Linked DNA regions of Nothobranchius furzeri. The main gene of each other region encodes a partner of the protein of the gene in region 2 in a complex. Links are inferred from orthologs where the notes say so. Each region holds a gene or a part of one and is shown on either strand. Other genes may lie near its edges.

What was found.
Region 1: the proteins of cep152 (region 2) and cep63 are in contact, whole or in part, in a crystal structure (PDB 6CSU), measured with the Homo sapiens proteins. The link is inferred for Nothobranchius furzeri from reciprocal best matches to the Homo sapiens genes CEP152 and CEP63. Residues at the interface, in NP_001181927.1 of Homo sapiens: Gly1261, Ala1262, Glu1265, Leu1266, Gln1269, Tyr1270, Lys1272, Ala1273, Lys1276, Ile1277, Asp1280, Met1281, Tyr1284, Glu1287, Ser1288, Arg1291, Ala1292, Met1295, Ala1298, Arg1302; in NP_001340037.1 of Homo sapiens: Phe666, Glu669, Glu670, Arg673, Ile677, Arg680, Leu681, His684, Glu687, Leu688, Glu691, Ser692, Thr695, Phe699.

What each region holds. Positions count from the first base shown.
Region 1 is NC_091756.1:60,716,072-60,724,613, reverse strand, and holds cep63 (centrosomal protein of 63 kDa), read right to left. Parts: upstream 8,225-8,542; 5' UTR 8,072-8,224; coding exon 8,031-8,071; intron 7,931-8,030; coding exon 7,753-7,930; intron 6,193-7,752; coding exon 6,097-6,192; intron 6,018-6,096; coding exon 5,928-6,017; intron 5,859-5,927; coding exon 5,754-5,858; intron 5,643-5,753; coding exon 5,469-5,642; intron 5,143-5,468; coding exon 4,997-5,142; intron 4,871-4,996; coding exon 4,727-4,870; intron 4,631-4,726; coding exon 4,528-4,630; intron 4,453-4,527; coding exon 4,291-4,452; intron 4,046-4,290; coding exon 3,959-4,045; intron 3,152-3,958; coding exon 2,949-3,151; intron 2,879-2,948; coding exon 2,641-2,878; intron 2,557-2,640; coding exon 2,344-2,556; 3' UTR 2,168-2,343; downstream 1-2,167. Other genes in the region: uncharacterized protein, read left to right, coding at 464-547, 893-1,161, 1,245-1,491. UniProt on the Homo sapiens protein: Required for normal spindle assembly.
Region 2 is NC_091744.1:64,197,250-64,206,473, reverse strand, and holds the start of cep152 (centrosomal protein of 152 kDa), read right to left. Parts: upstream 5,644-9,224; 5' UTR 5,302-5,643; intron 5,021-5,301; 5' UTR 5,011-5,020; coding exon 4,924-5,010; intron 2,626-4,923; coding exon 2,516-2,625; intron 2,424-2,515; coding exon 2,363-2,423; intron 2,272-2,362; coding exon 1,987-2,271; intron 1,468-1,986; coding exon 1,311-1,467; intron 920-1,310; coding exon 779-919; intron 557-778; coding exon 417-556; intron 305-416; coding exon 104-304; intron 18-103; coding exon 1-17. UniProt on the Homo sapiens protein: Necessary for centrosome duplication; the function also seems to involve CEP63, CDK5RAP2 and WDR62 through a stepwise assembled complex at the centrosome that recruits CDK2 required for centriole duplication.

The DNA.
Region 1 (8,542 bases), on a different chromosome or scaffold from region 2:
TCTTGGCAACCTTTTGCATAGACACGCCCCCTCGCAGGCCCATCGCTCAGCCGGCAGGGAGCTGTTGATGGTTCCACGCACTAAGTACAGGTCACGGGGGGACCATGCATTCTCCGTGTTGGCACCTGCACTTTGGAACCAGTTGCCTTTGGTGGTGCGTCAGTCACCCTCATTGGGGGGTTTTTAAGACTCGCCTTAAGACCCATTTTTTTGTCGAGGCATTCCAGGATTAGCAAATTTTACCCGGTTTCGACGCCCCGGCCTCTTAATCTTTTCCAGGATTTTATTTTTTGCTTTTACTCTCCTCTTTTAATTGATTTTGTGTTGGTTTTACGATTGTTATATTTTATTCTGATGGTTTTATGTTTTTATTGTGTTGTGTTCAGTACCTTGGGTGTCTGCATTGGTTGCAGAAGGGGCTTTATAAATAAATGAAATGAAATGACTCTCCCCCCTCATCCAGCCTCTGGGATCAGGTCCCCAGCTGGTCCAGGAGTCTTATGACACGGAACCCATAGATGTGGATGTTTGGGATGAACAGCAGAAGGTACAAGTAGAGGGCTAAATCAAACCCTAACCACTAGATATGGACATTTAGAAAGAGCTGGACCCATCATTTGAAACTTTATTGATCCGCATGTTTCCAACAGTAGCTACAGAATTTTATTTTCCTTTCAGATACGCTGTTTTTGTTTTCGTCCATCAGGGTTTATGAAGTTGTAAAGTTGGAACTTGTTTTAGATGAAAACTTAACTTTGTGGCAAGAATGAGTTTTCAGATGAACCTCAGTGAAAGTGAGACATTTATGAGAATTAAAGTAATGCTGTGGTGGGGCCTATGCCCGCCTGTCTCATGTCTTTTGCATCATGTAAGACATAATTCTGTCCAACAGCAGTCCCTTGCTGCTGAGATTCCCACTCTTCGGCCCCTCAACTCCTGTCCCTCCACACCTGCTCCGGACTTTCTCCTCCCCCTTGGTTTAAAGCCAGGACCCCAGCCTTCCTTTTCCACCTCAGACCTCCAGACCTGGAGTTTGGGATCCAACCCTGATCGTGTCCAGCAGGATGCAGTCCCAGGATGGGACTCGCCCCTTCGGTTCCATGGCTATCCTATTGAAGAGTACCAAGCTATTTACCACTCTGTGGTAGATCCCATGCTGAGGCATGTTATAAAATTTATGATTAGCTCAGAATTTATTCTAAACAATTTATGACTTTCATCCTTAAAACTGTTTTCTCTATTAGAAAAAGAAATGGCAAACGTCGTAAATACAGCCAGAAGTTGGGAAGACAAATAAAAAAGAGACTTTCGAAAAGACTGAGCCATCCGCAGCTGAAGGTGAGAGAGACAGTGGGTGGACTCCTTCTGATTGAAGAGTCTAAAGCGGTGGCAAAGCTACCACATCTGGATGTTTCTGATGAACCAAAAGTGAATGTACCAAACTGCAGCGACACCCAACCAACAGCTGAAACATCAGCAGCCGCAGTTTGAAACCCAGTGTTGTTTTAATAAAATTACTTTTTTCTTTGAGCATATGGAGACAAATCACTCTTCTGCATGTTTCACACAAATACATATTTATAAGCCTCTAAAAACACAGAAAACATAGTTTTAAGTGAGAAGAACTCAAGTTTGGTTTTTCAGCGTGTCCTTTCTGAAGCATTAACATTTCTAAATATATTCATGCAGAAGAGACTGAAAGTAGAGACAGCTTGTGACTTTTAGAAGGAATTAAACTTTTATTTTAATGCATTTACATAAAAGCCCTCACCTGGTTTGGTTTATTATTAAATCTTCTGTTTAGTCTCTAACGCGTACAATCACTACCTTCAATAAAATTAATAGATGTGGAAAAAATGGGTGGTGCCGTTTAAGAATAAATAAACTAAACAAAGGTCATTAAAACAATCTAAAGGACACACACACACACACACACACACACACACACACACACACACACACACACACACACACACACACACACACACACTTAAACCACCCAAAGGAAATCTGATTTTTTAAATTGTTTCTCAGCAGAATAATTTATAATACATATATTTACAGACATAAGGGACATTCCAGTCATCTGTCTTGGACTGATGAAGAAAAATGTCCGTTCCAGTTTTGTTTCTTTAGTTAGTTCAGCACTAATAAACTATAGCAATGATTATTTGTTCAATACATTTATTTTATGGTTGGTTCAAAGTAAATATGCTGATGAAGGAAGACCAAAGGAGTCAAAAACACATTCATGTAGACAAAGTTAATCAGACCAGACGCTCGGTCCGCTCTGGCTGATGAAGATGTGAAGTTAAAACACTTTGCAGTGATTCGTTACCAACGTTAGAGCTGAGGAGTTGAATGACTCTGCTCTGATGTTGGCTCAGCCTCAGGCCCCGAGCCACCGGCCAGATATCTGGACACCGTTCTGGTATTGTGCTCTCTCATCCCCAGGATGTGATGGTCCAGCCTCTGCAGCAGCTCCTCGGACCGTAAGCTCTCGTCCTCTAAGAAACGAGTGACCATGCCGCGTGCAGACGACACTGATGAAGGATCCTGGGAGGAAAAACAAACATCTGCAGAAGTCCTGGCAGAAGAACTGTACATTATGGACTTTTATCATAAAACACGCGGCCTCACTTTGTCTTTGAATCCTGGTGTCACGGAGCCTTCTGAGCCTGAGCTTTGGCCCTCAGCAGCAGATTCATTGAGACTTAATGCTGTCACCGAGTTCCTCCTGGTCAGTCTGGTGCTGATGCTGGAGGAAGAGGAGGAGGAGGAATGGTCTCCATGCCTTGTAGGGGACAGCATCTGCAGCTCTCTGAAGAGCCTCTGGATTTCTCCCTCACAGCTCTGGGCTTTATCCTGCACCTGAGGCCTGCAAAACAGGGTTTCATCATCAGTTCTGGAACAGCTTGGACTGGTACCCATTTGGACATGCCACCTACCCGTCCTGGTCCTGCTGTGGCTGCTCAGAGATGGCGTGGCTGAGCAGAGCGCTCTCATACTTCTCCCGATGTGTCTGATTTGAGCTGTCACGCTGTGACTGCTCCTTGGCGAGAACCTTCTTTAACTGATTATTTTCCTGTTCCAGGCTCCTCAAGGAGGGCTTGAGGCTCTCCTTCAGAGAATCTGGGAAGGAACCCCCCCTCTGGGGAGAGACAAGAGACACACAGGCAGGAGTCACGTTTGATGGTCCCTAGCTGCTGCTGCTGCTTTTAAAGCTGGGAGGACACTGTGCGACTTTTTCACTCGTAGCACTCAGCTTCAGCTCACACTGCACGACTTCATCGCAGGGCAGATCTCACGAGTCGTGTGCTCACACTGAACGTCTGGTAGCAACACGGCCCTAAAAATATGCTAAAAATAGCAGTTTTTACACAACATGTGACACTTTTTTGTCTCGTCTTGCCTGTTGTCCTTCGGGAGCGCTGCAGGAGGACACACAGGGATTTATGGGGTTGGATGAGGAAAACGAAATAAAGAAAGTAAATCTGTGTTTTGTGATCAGTTTAATTTGACACGAACACGACAAACACGCTTTCTTGACAATCTTTGTGAGTGAAAAAACGTGTAGAAATAAAAACGAACAGCGTGTGTTATTAGGGAAATAGCGGGCGAGCGGTGTTGATGCAGGATTGCGCATGCACCGTGAGCGGTTCTGGTAGTTTTTGGGTCGCAGCTGCTCGCAGCGCCGCTTCAACAGTGCGATACCCTCACGAGGGACGAGCGAAATATCAAACACGCCAGAAGTCCGTGCGAGCTCACGACTGCTGATCGGCAGCTGGTCACGTGGTGTTAATCGCCTCTCGTAACCCCCTGTACACTACACGACGCTCAGCGCAAGACTCGCCCCGATGTCGTGGATTCTCGCACGAGTGGAAAATCGGCTCAAAAAAGGGAAAAAGTCGCACAGCGTACGCCCGGCTTAAGGTTGTGTGGTGGATATCAGACAGACCTTGGGTGAGGGAGGCTCCAGTCGCTGCAGCAGACCTTTCAGATGCTGGTTCTCAGCTTGTAAAGTCTCCAGCTGTGCCTGAGTCACCTGAGAAAGGAAAACATTTCTGATTCAGGACTATCGTGTGGGGATCAGACCTGCTGCTATACTTCCAAAAGCAGGTTTAGATGTAACTAGTTATCTGAGGGCTAATGTGAGCGGGGACGTTGACCAACACATATCCAGCACACACGCCTGTAACAGGATCTCACTGCTCACAACGGAGGAGGACATTTACAGTCTCATGTAAATCTTGGGACTCCACATTTTCCACAATTGTTCCAGAGCCCCACCTCGCCTCGGAGCTGCTGCCTGACGCTAGGCAAGGGTCCGCTCAGAGCAGCGATGGGGAGGTCACGTTGATACAGCTCACTCGTCAACTTTGACACCTCCTCTTTCGTTCCCTCAGCTTCGCCACTGTGAGTCTGCCTGGTCCTCTGGAGCTCCTCTTTGAGCTGAAGAACACACCCAGAGATGAGAAACAGAAGCTGAAACTGTTAAACGTCACTCATCAGGTCAGAGTCCCTAACCTTCTTGATCTCTGTGACAGAGGAGTCACAGTGCACTTTCACATTTTTCAGTTCCTGCTCCATCTTTGAAGCGTTGTCCTGCTGTCTGCTCATGTTCTCCAACCTGAGCCCAAACGAGGAAAACGAGCAGGTAGAAACATTCAGAGCTCAGAATAAACCCGGCTTGGTTTGATTGGGTGAGCGTGAAAGCAGCAGCCACCTTTCTCTGACACAGGAGAGCTCCGCCTTCAGCTGGAGCTCACAGACCTGAGCACTCTGAAGCTTGGCTGTAGTCCTCTCCAGAGCCTTCCTGAGAGTTTCCACACCGGCACAGCCCTGAGCTGACAGACAGTCCTCCAGAGAGCTGCAGACACAACAACACGCTCACATGCATAACGAAAGCAGAACCAGAACCGGGAAAGCCAGTAGGGAACGCCACCCTTGCAACATGCCACTGTAATGACATGACTACCATCAGAGATGCACCCACCGGATGACTTGATCTTTAGCTTGCAGCACTTGCGTGAGTCGAGCAGCTTCCTCACACAATCTCTGCTGCTCAAGACCGGCTCTGAGCATAAACGCATCCCGGGAGTCTAGCACGGCGTGGAGGTTGTCTCGTTGCCCCGACGGCAACTGTGGAGCAGCAGATTCCTAGCTCATTAGAGCTCATTTCAACATGGACGCCTGAAGTGATCAGCTCTTTCAATTAATTTGTTTGACTTTTTTTTTCTTTCAGCTCAAGTATTTACGGCTCTTTTCCTGCAGCTTTAATGACGTGATTGGATGGAAGCTGTAATAAAAGCCTAAATGAAATTCGTCCAAACTTTAGAAGACCTTTGGAGTCCAAACAGTGAGACTTTTATCTCCAGAGTTGTTACAAACACCTGGAATCTGATGGAAGATGTTTGGTATCCAGCTGAGAAGCCACACATCTCACATGTTCCTGTCGCCCTGCTAACCTGCTGCTCTCTCTGGGACTGTCCCAACAGCACCTCCAGCGGTCTGAGGCGATCCAGTTCCAGTTCCTGTGAGTGCAGGCTGGCCTGAGCCTTCTCCAGCTGTGCACGCAGATGCTGCACCTCTGAACAGCACTCCTTGTGTTCCCTCTCCACCCGCCCCGATGCCCATTGGCTCTGGAAAAACAAATATTACTGAAATGCAACAACAATGCAGCAGTCTTCCACACTTTTATACACTAAATATGTCTGGCTTCCTGAGTGAAAGTCATAAATGTGCTTTTTAACCTTTAAGTGAGCAAGCTCCTGGTTCAGGCTTTTATTCTGGAGCTCCAGTGTGGTCAGCTGGTTTTGGTACCGAGTTCGCTGCTGCTCAGAGCGCTGCTGATGCTTCTGCACCAATGTAAGAACGATTAATCAAATTCCAGGAGATGGAAATGCCAGGAAAATCTATTAGTTCACCTTTGCAAGCTCAGTCTCCTTTCCACCTCCACTTGTCTCCTTAAGCTGTTTGCGATGAAGCTTCTGGTAACTTCTCTTCAACTTGTCCAACTATAAGAAACGATGTTAACAATAAACATGATACAAGCGATATAGCTGAGTGCATTTGAGGAAAAACAGATGATCACACCTCTTCACGGAGTCTCTTTAGTTGTTGTTCGTACTTGGATACCAACTCTTGCCGATCCGTCTGAACGGCTTCAAGCTGCTTGTGAAGAAGTCCAATCTGCAACAAATACATGAGGCATAATACTTCTGTTTTTATGTGTTTTTTAGATGCCTCTAAGGCCTTTGACAGAGTCAATCATCAGAAATTATTCATCAAGCTACAAAACAGAGGGGTCCCTTCTTACCTAGTTAGGATTTTGCACTTCTGGTACTCTCATCAACTGATGCAGGTAAAGTGGGGGACAGAAGTGTCTGAACCTTTCTCCGTATCAAATGGAGTCAGACAAGGCGGGATTCTGTCACCTGTCCTTTTTAACCTGTACCTTGACGAGTTGTCTGTTACTCTGAATGCTAGTAAGACTGGATGCTTGGTGGGTGACCGACTGGTAAATCATTTAATATATGCAGATGACCTAGTCCTCATGTCTCCCTATAGCGCAGGCCTGCAGCAGCTGCTCAGGGCATGTGCTAAGTATGGTGAGCAATTTGACATCCTGTTTAACCCTAAAAAGAGTGTGGTTATGATTGCTGCTACTAAAGGGGACCTGAAGCTTAATTTTCCATCTTTTAACTTAACAAATCAGGTCCTGGAAGTGGTAAGCAAAGTAAAATATTTGGGGCACATTTTAAGAAGTGACCTCTGTGATGACGAGGACATTAAGAGGCAGTGTGGTAAGCTGTACATGCAGGCTAACACTCTGGCACGTAACTTTGGCATGTGCTCAGATCCTGTAAAAGTGTCCCTCTTTCGTTCCTTTTGTACTCCTCTCTATACCGCCCACTTGTGGTGCAACTATAGTAAGGTAGTAATGAAGAAGCTTCAAGTGGCTTATCAGGATGCTTTTAGAATCCTCATGAAGCTCCCTAGATGGACTTCGGCAAGTCACATGTTTGTTACGAGTAACATCCCAACTTTTCATGCGCTTCTGAGGCTCTTCATGTACAAATTCATCTGCCGACTGAGTTTGTCAGCTAACGCGGTTGTTAGAGCTCTGTCATCTTTATCTTACAGTGACACGAGGTACTCCTCAGTCCTTTTTAAACATTGGAGCAACTGCCTATATGGTTTGTAATTAGAATGTGTTTGTATTTTATTTTTTTATTTATTTTTTATTTTTTTTATTCTTGTTATGGACATATCCCTTGTCTGAAATAAAGTTTGATTGATTGATTGAATAGGTGATGGTGTTATTATGGGAATAGAGATAAAATGCTTCATGCCACAACTATTTACTGTCTCCTTCCTTACGGTTTAAAACATGTCCTAAAACCAACATCCTCACACATTTACATTTATTTTTGAAACATTTAATTGAATCTGCAGGAGGTTTTGTTTTGAGAGTACAACGAATCTTCATAGCAGAGGCTTTCTGATCATTTAAGGAATAATTTAGTAAGTCTCCAACATTAGGTGAGGCCAGAAATGGAGACAGTGGCCATAAAAACTGTTTTAGCAGGAGAGTCCATGTTTGGAATTGGAAATGGGATGGAAAAATGTTACCTTCAAAATGCTGCATGTCAAAATAAGGGCATGCTTGCTTTTTTATTACAAGCTTCTGTGTTGATTAAATTACTTTTGTGATTCTTTTGAGCAAAAAAGGATGAATCGTCACTTCACCTCCAGATCCCTCCGTTCAATGGTAGTCTTGGAGGTTAAAAGCTCTTCTTCTCCACTGGTGACCCTGAGCTGCAGAGCGTGGAGCTCAGCCTCCCACTCCCTCTTCTGATGATTGATCATAATGTCAATCTGTCTCATCAGCTCCTGCAGCTCAGGCTCGCATGAGGACAGGACAGAGCTGCGTAGCAGAAGATTAAAGCGTGTTATCAACTTCATTTGTGTAAACACGCATCTAAAGATGGCTGACTTAGCCTCACGACAAACCAAACGTCTGTTACCTTATATCAGGATTCTGTATTGATTCCAAAGAAACCTCCATCTCGTTCAAAAATGGCGCCGTCTGTCCCCTCTGCGCGCTAAGGTGCTACAACACGGTGGACTCTATCCAGATTGTCCTTACAAGCTAAGACCGGCACGTTGTAGAGTATAAACAAGTTTGATGACATCGCTACGTCAACAACACTATTCGGCGTTCAACTGCTTTTCTTTACAAAGAATTTCCGGTTCCAAGGCGGTACATCCGCCTTCTAACTGTGACCTCATTACGTTTTACGTAGGCAACATTTTAAAAAATGTAATTTATTATTTGGTCTTCGACTTTAAAAATAAGGTTTGGGAGGGAAAATTAAAGAAAAAACAAACACATTAATCTCACGGCTTAAGATTCAGATGTCGTGTAACGTGAAGGTACGTCTGAAATTCCATGAAATTAGACATTCTATTATAGTGTGTAAAAATACAATAATACTTTTAAAACAGTACATTTACAGAAAAACTACATATCACTTTA
Region 2 (9,224 bases):
TTCTGGCCAACATCAAACTGGAAACAACACAGAAGCTGAATAGACCGACTTTCACCCCCCACCAGTTCACCCCCACCATTTTTCTGTTTCCGTCTGACGACACCTGTTCGCTCAGCGCTTGGGAGGTAGAGTCTAGTTTCTGCTGTAAAGCCAACAGCGCCACCTCGTGCTGCTCCTTCATAACGGCGAGGTCTCGGTCGTGCTGCTCTCGTGATTTGGACAGGGTGTCGGAGCGGCACAGCTCCAGCATCTGCTGCTTCATGCTGTCCACAGCAGCATCAGCCAGCCTCTGCTTCTTAAGGTTCTGCAAACAAAGACAACCCACTTTGTCCTAAAGCCGTCTTTAAATGTTATAAATTAGGAATAAAATGTATAAACTTGGATTGAGACGGTGGTACTGAGGGTGAAGCGCTAACCTCCTGGTCTCTCTCTCTGAGGAGCTGAACTTGCTGCTCTACAGCCTGAAGCTTGTGCTGCATTTGAACCTCTCGTTCCTTCGCGTCTTCGACCAGTCGACTGGACTCCTTGTAGCTCACCGTTAGGCCGTCCTTCTCATCTATTCACAAATTTAATTTTTTATTAATTGACCATTTAATTTTTAAAAATGTCACAGATTGATCTAATCTTGAGTGAATCCTGTAGTCAATTCAGTTCAGGTACAAAAACATTTGTATTCAGCAGAATAAACTGTTTTAATGCGTGTAAAAACGTAACATGATCAGCCAACAAATGCTAAAAGGACACATCCTTGTTGTGATGCTGAGGCTGTGAGACACACCTTTGACTATTGCAAACTGATGCTCCAGATATCTCATGTTACGCCGGGAATCCTCCAGCTTCCGCTCCAAATCTTCAATCTGCCTCTGCTGAGCTTTGTTTAAAATCTGAAGTTGGGTGCTTCGCTCCCTGTCGGCGTTTTCTGGAAACACACCGATCATCTGTCACTTACTTCTGAGAAGTATATGGAGACTTTCTTCAAGGTTGTACACTGGTTTTGATGGTTGACTGACTGATAGTTTTAATTAACAGGTGAGATGTTTCTGGGTAAAGTTTCTATTATACATGTCAGCCAAAATCAAACCACTTTGATTTAATTTGTTAGAAAAAACATCCATTTATCTTTGACTTTACATACCTAGCCTTGCTTTTCATGAGTTAGCGTCAAAATCAATCATCAAATATTTACCATTTGCTGTTGATAAATCTACACTTTTACAGCTTTGTGAAGTCTGGACCAGGTTAAAGGCAGCAGCAGTAATTGTGAGTTTTATACCTCAGAGTTTAAAATCAGAAAACAAATAAAGACTCACGTTGTGTTGAATCGAGGAATTCCCTCTGTAGGAGGCCAAACTGGTCTTGCTGAGCAGCTTGAGAGTGAAACACCTTGGGCTGGTGGACAGCATGATGAGGCTTATAACGAACCTGGTGCTGGTTGGAACCTTGATCGTTCACTTCAGAGTTCACATTCTGACAGTAAAGAAACACAGTGTCAGGTAAAGACGTTCGAAAACTAAATTAAAGTTTAATAATCTGAAATTATTTTGACTTAAATCAGAATAGCTGATTGTTGTTATGGTTGTTTTGTTTGTTTTAAACACTGTTAGCTTAAAAACAGATTGCTGTACAAAGTGACTTAAATAAAAACTACACAAACTTAATGACTGATTGTTTTTATAGCACCCAAAACCACACGGTAGAAGAATAAATACAATGTCAGAACAATTCTCGTTCGATTGGACTCTAAGCTTATCCTACACCTCTAGTGGATCCCGTGAGCTGAAGCAGAGATACATGAATTGATTTGCTGGTACTGTACTGTCAATGTTTTCCTTTTATGACACATTTCAGCTCTGCTGCTGCCGTCCTGAACTGGTTACTCAGGGCATCCATGTAGAAACAGATCAATAATACATCACGTTTTAAACTTCCTGATTCTAGGAGAACCGCTGAAGATCAGTGGTTACACTGATGCAGGCGCTCACTCACTTGAAACTGGTGTCTGGTGTTTTGAACCTCGTGGTTGAGTTCCCTCCTGTAGCCTTCTTCTCCTTTAAAGTTCACATGGTTGTCGGAGCCTTCAGGGAACGGCTGTGCCTCAGACCCAGTAGAAAAATCGCTATTCTCTGTGCATTTATCCGAGCCGACGCTTGTGCACGGATACCTCTCCTGTGCAAATGGATGATTTTGATTCCAGGTGTGAGGGAGCAGGTTTCCATCATCTTCATAGGCATACTGGTCATGAGAGGCTTGATCAAAGTCAACGTCATAGATCTAAAAAAAAAAAAAAACCATATACAAAAACAAATGTATTATGTTTTCTTCTCTTCTAGGAATCAGTTCTGAACAAAAAGATACTCTCTACCTGAGCATGAGAGGGCGGATGTGCATGATCGGACCATTCTTGAGTCCACTTACACTGTGGGCTGAGAGGAAAAGGCAACATGAAGTCACTTTGTTGCAGTGCAGATTTTCTGGGTGTTTTAATCTACGCCGTGTCACCGGCGACGTGTGCTACCTGCTGCTGGCGTTTTGATTGCTGCAGTTGGAGCACTCCAGCTCCGGAGAGGAGGAGTCTCTGCTGTCCTCCAGCATGTCATCCGGCAGGTCCGTGAGCAGCTTGTGCAGCTGCAGAGAAAGCAGCACATGGAAATGACTCACTGAGGTTGCTACGCAACAGAGTTATGAAATGACATGCAGCAAAAAATAACACAGAGTAGCAATGAGTGAGATGAAGAAGGAAAAAGGTCAGTGGTGTAAAACATTCGAAATAAAAAGTGGCTATATTTGAGTTTTCAAACAACATTATGGTTTAATTGTATTGGTCAGGATGTGGCTCAATGTGGATTAGATGTTTTGTGTACTTTTTACAGCAATTATGTAATGATTAAGTTAATAATCAAATTGTAACAAGGAATTTATCCAAAAACTTTTAAAATAATCTCAGGCTAATTAAACTCCAATGCAAATATTATTTTATAAATATCATTAATTGTTTAGAGTTTTTTCCACAGCTTTTAAACATGTAAGCTTCACAACAACAGCAAGACAAGGCCATGTAAGAGACGGACTGCTGGACTTACTTCCCACAAGGACTGCTGAATATTCCTCAGATCCTCCACAGTGTCCAGGACTGAAGGACCCATTTTTACCACACTAACACATCTACCAGGAACATAAAACGCGGCTCGGCTCTCCAGATAACCACTAATATATCCTAATCACTCTGCTGAGATGACCTTATGTGAGAAACATTCAGAGCATGCCTTGCATGTTATTGGCTCCCTGTGACATTGCTGCTTTCGCTCCCAAAGAACTCCATTGTTAAAAGAAAAAAAAAACATATAGCAAGGCTAACTGGAGCAGAAACATTCCAATTACTGGTGGCAAGCATTTTCCACTTGACCAGTTTGTTTAGTAAGTTGTAAAAAAATAAAATACAAAAAGTTCATGGAAAAAGTCTAAATTTGCTCCTTTCTGCTGTACACCTGGTGAGTTGCTCAGCAATCACTTCTCCAGTCTTAACCAAGCTGAAATGGGGAGAGGAGCAGAGACGAAGAGAGGGAAGGCCACAGGGCAGAGCTAGTTTCAGCATGACACACCTGGAGGGAGCCAATAACAACAACTCACACTCATGACACAATCGACTGGAAACGTGATTAACCAAGTAGATGTTTCACCATGTGAAGCTGTCAGTGACTGACATTCAAATGAAACACACACCATGATCTCAAACCACCTGTTAGAATTGCTAATATTATATATTAAATATCTCATAAAAATAAAACGGCAAACATTCTGAATTAATACAAGCTTTTTTCCCCAGCATAAAATATATATGCTCTTGTCATTTGGTTATAATAAATGAGAATGTTTGACCAAACATAAACGTGTGTCGTGTGTGTGTGTCTATGTGTGTGTGTGTGTGCGTTTTCCATTCAGAACTTGGATTTTTCTCTAACGAATGTATTTATTTATTTTTTAACAAACATCTGATTTACAAATAATTAAGGCAGCAAAATGTTTCTAAAGTGAAATAATTAACTAGTGTTAAACTAAACAATCTTAAATCGGATTTTAGGCACTTTGATAAACACATCATGTCAAATAGGCACAATTTGCCCTAACTTGTTGAGACAAATCTATTAAAAGCACCAAAATAACACATGATATAGTGTTGTAGCAACAACAAAGTAATTCCATAAGAGCTTTGAGCTGAAAAGCTTTCATATAGAAGAGGATCAGTCCAAGGATTACGCATGACTCAGGTCCTGTTTAAAGAGCAAGTCACCCCCAAATCAACTTTTTTTTTGCTGATAAACTAAATAAACGAGTGTCTAATTGTGCTGCAGACACGTGTGGTCAATAATTTGGCACTTCAGTGCATCTTAGTTAAAATTTAAATATTCTGCTTAAAACTGTCAGTGTTGTGCCGTTGTCAGGTAAAAACTCTGCACTGTATTTGAATTTATAACTGCCACCGCTATTGGCTAAGAGGTATGCTATGACGTAAACTGGTACATTATGATGTCACAATGCTGTCGTGAGCCTGTGTGTGTGTGTATTTGTTAGCGGCTCCGCCCTCTCAGTCTGCTAGGCAACGGCATTTGTTGCATTTTTCAAACATGAAGTGGGAGTTGAGTTAGATTTTGGTAGGGGGTGACTTGCTCTTTAAAGTCTGATAGGCTTCTTCCAAATATAAAGCCATTCAGATACTGTTCATCCGTGAGAAATATATTACCATCAGATGCACGGACTGTACAGAAAACAAATGGTTGAAAAAGCAAGAAAACGTTGCAAGAACTCGAGAAAGACTTTAAACTACTTTTAAAGGATTTCAAGAAAATCGGACTCTTGAGAAGCAAATGGTAGTAAGGCTTTTGCACACTTGTGTATATGTGGACACAAACTGCTGCTGTGTTTTACCTCTTGCTCTCTTGCATAGTCTTCCTGGTCATATTCCTCTTCATCATGCTGAGTTTGAAGAGCAGCACTATCAAAATCTATAGACATTGTGTGCTACCTGTTGGGGCAAAAGAGTTATTAGGTTGTTTGTTTCGCGAACATCTGATCAGAAATGAGTTGTTTGATATGGTCATGTATTAAACAACACAATGAGGTCACTAGCATGCATAAATATCGCTTATTGATCGGTTTAAAGATGTTTTTGTTTAGAGGCTCATTTCTAATTCTGAGTAACGTTCATGTTTGCGATCAATTGCTAGCAATGCTGGTGTTTACTACTTAGCTAAACTCAACCCTTCCCTGTCTAGCCTGAAAAAGAAACAAAACACACACATTTACCTGATTAAACTTTCCGTGGCGGATGCATTTCCCTGAAACGTAAACTGTCTAGCCTCAGCGCTTAAAGGTTGCTGACTGCTCGTAAAACTTCGTGGATGAAAAGCTAACTCCGTGGCTATCTCGCTAGCTTCAACTAGCTTCCGCTGAGCAGACTCGGCCACTTTAAAACTCGCGCGCATTAGCAGCGCCAAGCCTCTTTGGCTCTTTGCGACAAAACGTCTTTACACATAAACTGTGTCTAGTCACCAACGCCCCCAGAATTGTGCATTCAAAACGCACTTATCTGTAAAAATTTTAATTAATTTACCAAAACAGACGCGTTACAAATATCTCATTTCTTAACTAGCTAACCACGTCTCCATAGTAACACCTGTCTAGCATTGTGGGTAATGTAGTTGAAGTTTTCCTGTTTCTAAACAAAGTGTTGAAAAGTAAAATGTAGGTAGATTTATCTCCACTACGCCTTTTTACCTGTATAAAACAATAAGTTATACACATGTAATATTTATACATTTGATACAATTCAGATCACCTTCAAAACTCAGTCACACACCCAAGGCCGTTTCAAGACATTTTGGGGGCCAAGGCAAAACAGAACCCTAACCCCCCCCCCCCCCCCCACAACTGGGCTTCCCAGAAGCCTCTGTGTATTCCAGGATTATTAGTTATACAGTGTTTGTAAAAGCCCCTCAGACACCACTGACATGTTCTAATATTATCAGAAGAAAAACTAAATGATCAGACATGCTATCTCATCTGCTTCTTTTCTAAACTCGCAAAAAGTAACAAGACCATTTGAAAGCCACTATTTGTGGATTCTCTGAAAGTTTCCATGGCGTGTGTGACAACTTATTTTTTCATTGACCCTATCGTCTAATCTCACAGTTGAAACAAGCATCCTTAATAATCGTGCACAGGAAGCTTACCAGTGCTGTGGTAAAACAAAAGTTACAATAATTTCTTATTAATAAAACCTTGTTGCAGCACTAAAGCAGAAAAATGAGATTTTGCAATAAATATGCAAAGAATTTACATATGAATAATTTTAGAGCCATTTTATTGGCAGAATCTGATATTAATTTTAGTTCTTACAAAAATATGGGTCCCAACGTGGTTTGTGTGACCTTTGACCCACCTCGTGTGGACTGACCATTGAGGAGAGGGTCTTAAGTTGAGGCTCTCTCTTCATTGGTCAGTCTGCATGAGACTGACTCTCAGCCGCTCTCAACTGACGTTCAAAGTCATTGGCAGCGAAGCGTCTCTGTGCAGCTCAAAAGCCCGGGTGGACAGTTTGTTTAATATAGGGTGACCATATTTCCATTTCCAAAAAAGAGGACAGGGGATCTGTGCCTATGATGTCACACTATGGCAACGCCACACAAACCACGTTGGGACCCATATTTTTGTAAGAACTAAAACCAACAAAGTGTTAATCTGGCCCTGCCTCCTAGTAGATCATTCATAATTTTTTCCTCTTAGTCATTTAGACACAAAAACATTAGAAAATAGGGTCCTGTGTTTTAACTTAACAAGGGAAGAATACTAAAGCTTAAACTGACCATGATTTGGTAAACACATATGCATTCAGATTTGAAGTGAAATAGGTTAGGAATATAATTTTGGCTCTAATCTTGTATTTCTTTTTAAAAGTATGAGTTTTAATAGTGTTTTATTCTCTTATAGACCAGCGCCACAACATTTAAAGAGGGTACATGGCCCAAATTAATACAACAATCAGCGGATACCTATCAGTACCCACTGTGCCACAAGGTGGGGCCAATACCATGCCCTAATACCCCATTTACAAGCACACCAGAAATCTGTAGTTAAATATGGAGGTAAATCCAACCACAGGTATTGATAAGGTTTTGTTAATACCAATGCCATTATCAATTCCCCTTATTGATCTGATTCTTTGTCAATTGTGTTATAAATATGTGGTCAGTGTTTTGTGTGGGGAAACTTAACTGTTCTTTTGTTGTTACTGTTAATCTTTAGGCTTACTATGTACAGTTTGAAGGCTGCATTGCTCTGCACTAGGTCTGCCTTTGTTGGTCAGCATCATATGATATTTGTTGTCTTTTCAACTGGAAATTCTTCCCATCCCTAATTGTAATGCTGCATCCTTATTAGAGATTATCATGAAGCATGGTAATACTTTTAACTGGTATATGTCACCAAACTCATCAATTACACTCCTCACTGCCGAGGCGTCTGATGAACAAGAGGCAGAACTCAACTGTTGGACAGTGCAGCCTTTAGACGGTCTAGCAAGATAAACGATCAACACTGACATGAAAACAGCTTTAAGTTCTTAGAACTAATTTTCTATAAATATTATAGAAAAGATTTTTATCTGTTGTTTACAAAATATTTTCTTGAATTACACATTCATTATCTTCCATATTTTCTTTCTGTCATTCTTTCAGAATATAACCGCCAAGCTGCGGTGGGATGACTCTGCCCTCCGAGCCGTCTTCTTGGAGGGACTGGCGACCTACATCCGTGATGAGATGGCGGGAAAGGAACTGCCCCAGACCCTGGATGAAGTGGTCGATTTGGCGCTGCGCATGGATCAGCGGGTTCTGGTTCGGCCCAAGCCCTTCACTCGCCTATCAAGGGCACCTGGCCCTCTTCCTCGTTCCCCCACGCCTGCTCCCGGACCCGCTTCTACTGATGAGCCCATGCAATCAGGCCACCTTCCTCCAGAGGAGAGACAGCGACGGTGGCGCTAGGGTCTCTGTGCCTATTGTGGCTTCTCCCACCACAGACGCCTGAACTGTCCATTACGTTTGGGAAACGAAGGAACCCACTGAGTATCGGGGTCGCTCAGCCTGGGTCACCTTCAGCCCCCGCCTCTTCAAATCGACTCCTTCTTCATGTTACCCTCCTTCATGGTGAGACCTCACTTCAGATGCACGTGCTGTTGGACTCGGGGGCCGCTGACAATTTTATGGACATGGATCTGGCTAAGCGCCTACGGATCCCCATGACCCCCTTGGAGAGAGTTGTGCCTGTGACCTCGGTGGACGGTAGGCCCCTCCAACCCTATCCGATCCAAAACCGAACCCAGCCACTCCAGATGATTGTCCAAGGCCACCGAGAGACCCTCCAGTTTCTGATCATATGTGCTCCCTCCTCTCCTCTAATCCTGGGATTTCCCTGGCTCCGTCTCCACGACCCCCGGATTTCCTGGTCCCAGGGCCGCATTTTGGAATGGGGGACCCAGTGCCAGGCCCACCTCTCTCCTCCTACATCCATGCCAGACCGCCCGGACGGTGACACTGGCCAAACACCGCCCAATCTGCCACTGCCCTACCGGGACCTGGCTGCGGTGTTCGACAAGCGGCGCGCCACCACACTTCCGCCTCACCGCACGTACGACATGGAAATCAAGCTGCAACTAGGAACCAGTCCACCCCGGGGGCGCCTTTTTTCTCTCTCTCCCGCCGAGTCCAGAGCCATGGAGGAATATATTGACCAGGCCCTCCAGCAGGGTTTCATTCGACCTTCCTCCTCCCCGGGTGCCGCAGGCTTCTTCTTTGTCAGGAAAAAGGAGGGTGATCTCCGCCCCTGTATCGATTACCGAGGTCTGAACAAAATCACAGTCAAAGACCGTCATCCTCTGCCGCTCCTCACATCTGCCCTGGACGCCATCTCCCAGGCGCGGATCTTCACCAAGCTGGACCTCCGGAGCGCCTACAATCTGGTCCGTATTAAAGCTGGAGATGAGTGGAAGACCGCTTTCATCACACCCACCGGTCACTGGGAGTACCAGGTCATGCCCTTCGGGCTGTGCAATAGCCCCGCCATTTTTCAACGCCTCATAAACGATGTCCTCTGCGACATGTTGGGACGGTGGGTGTTTGCCTACCTGGATGACATCCTGATCTACTCCAAGTCCGAGGCCGAACACCTCCACC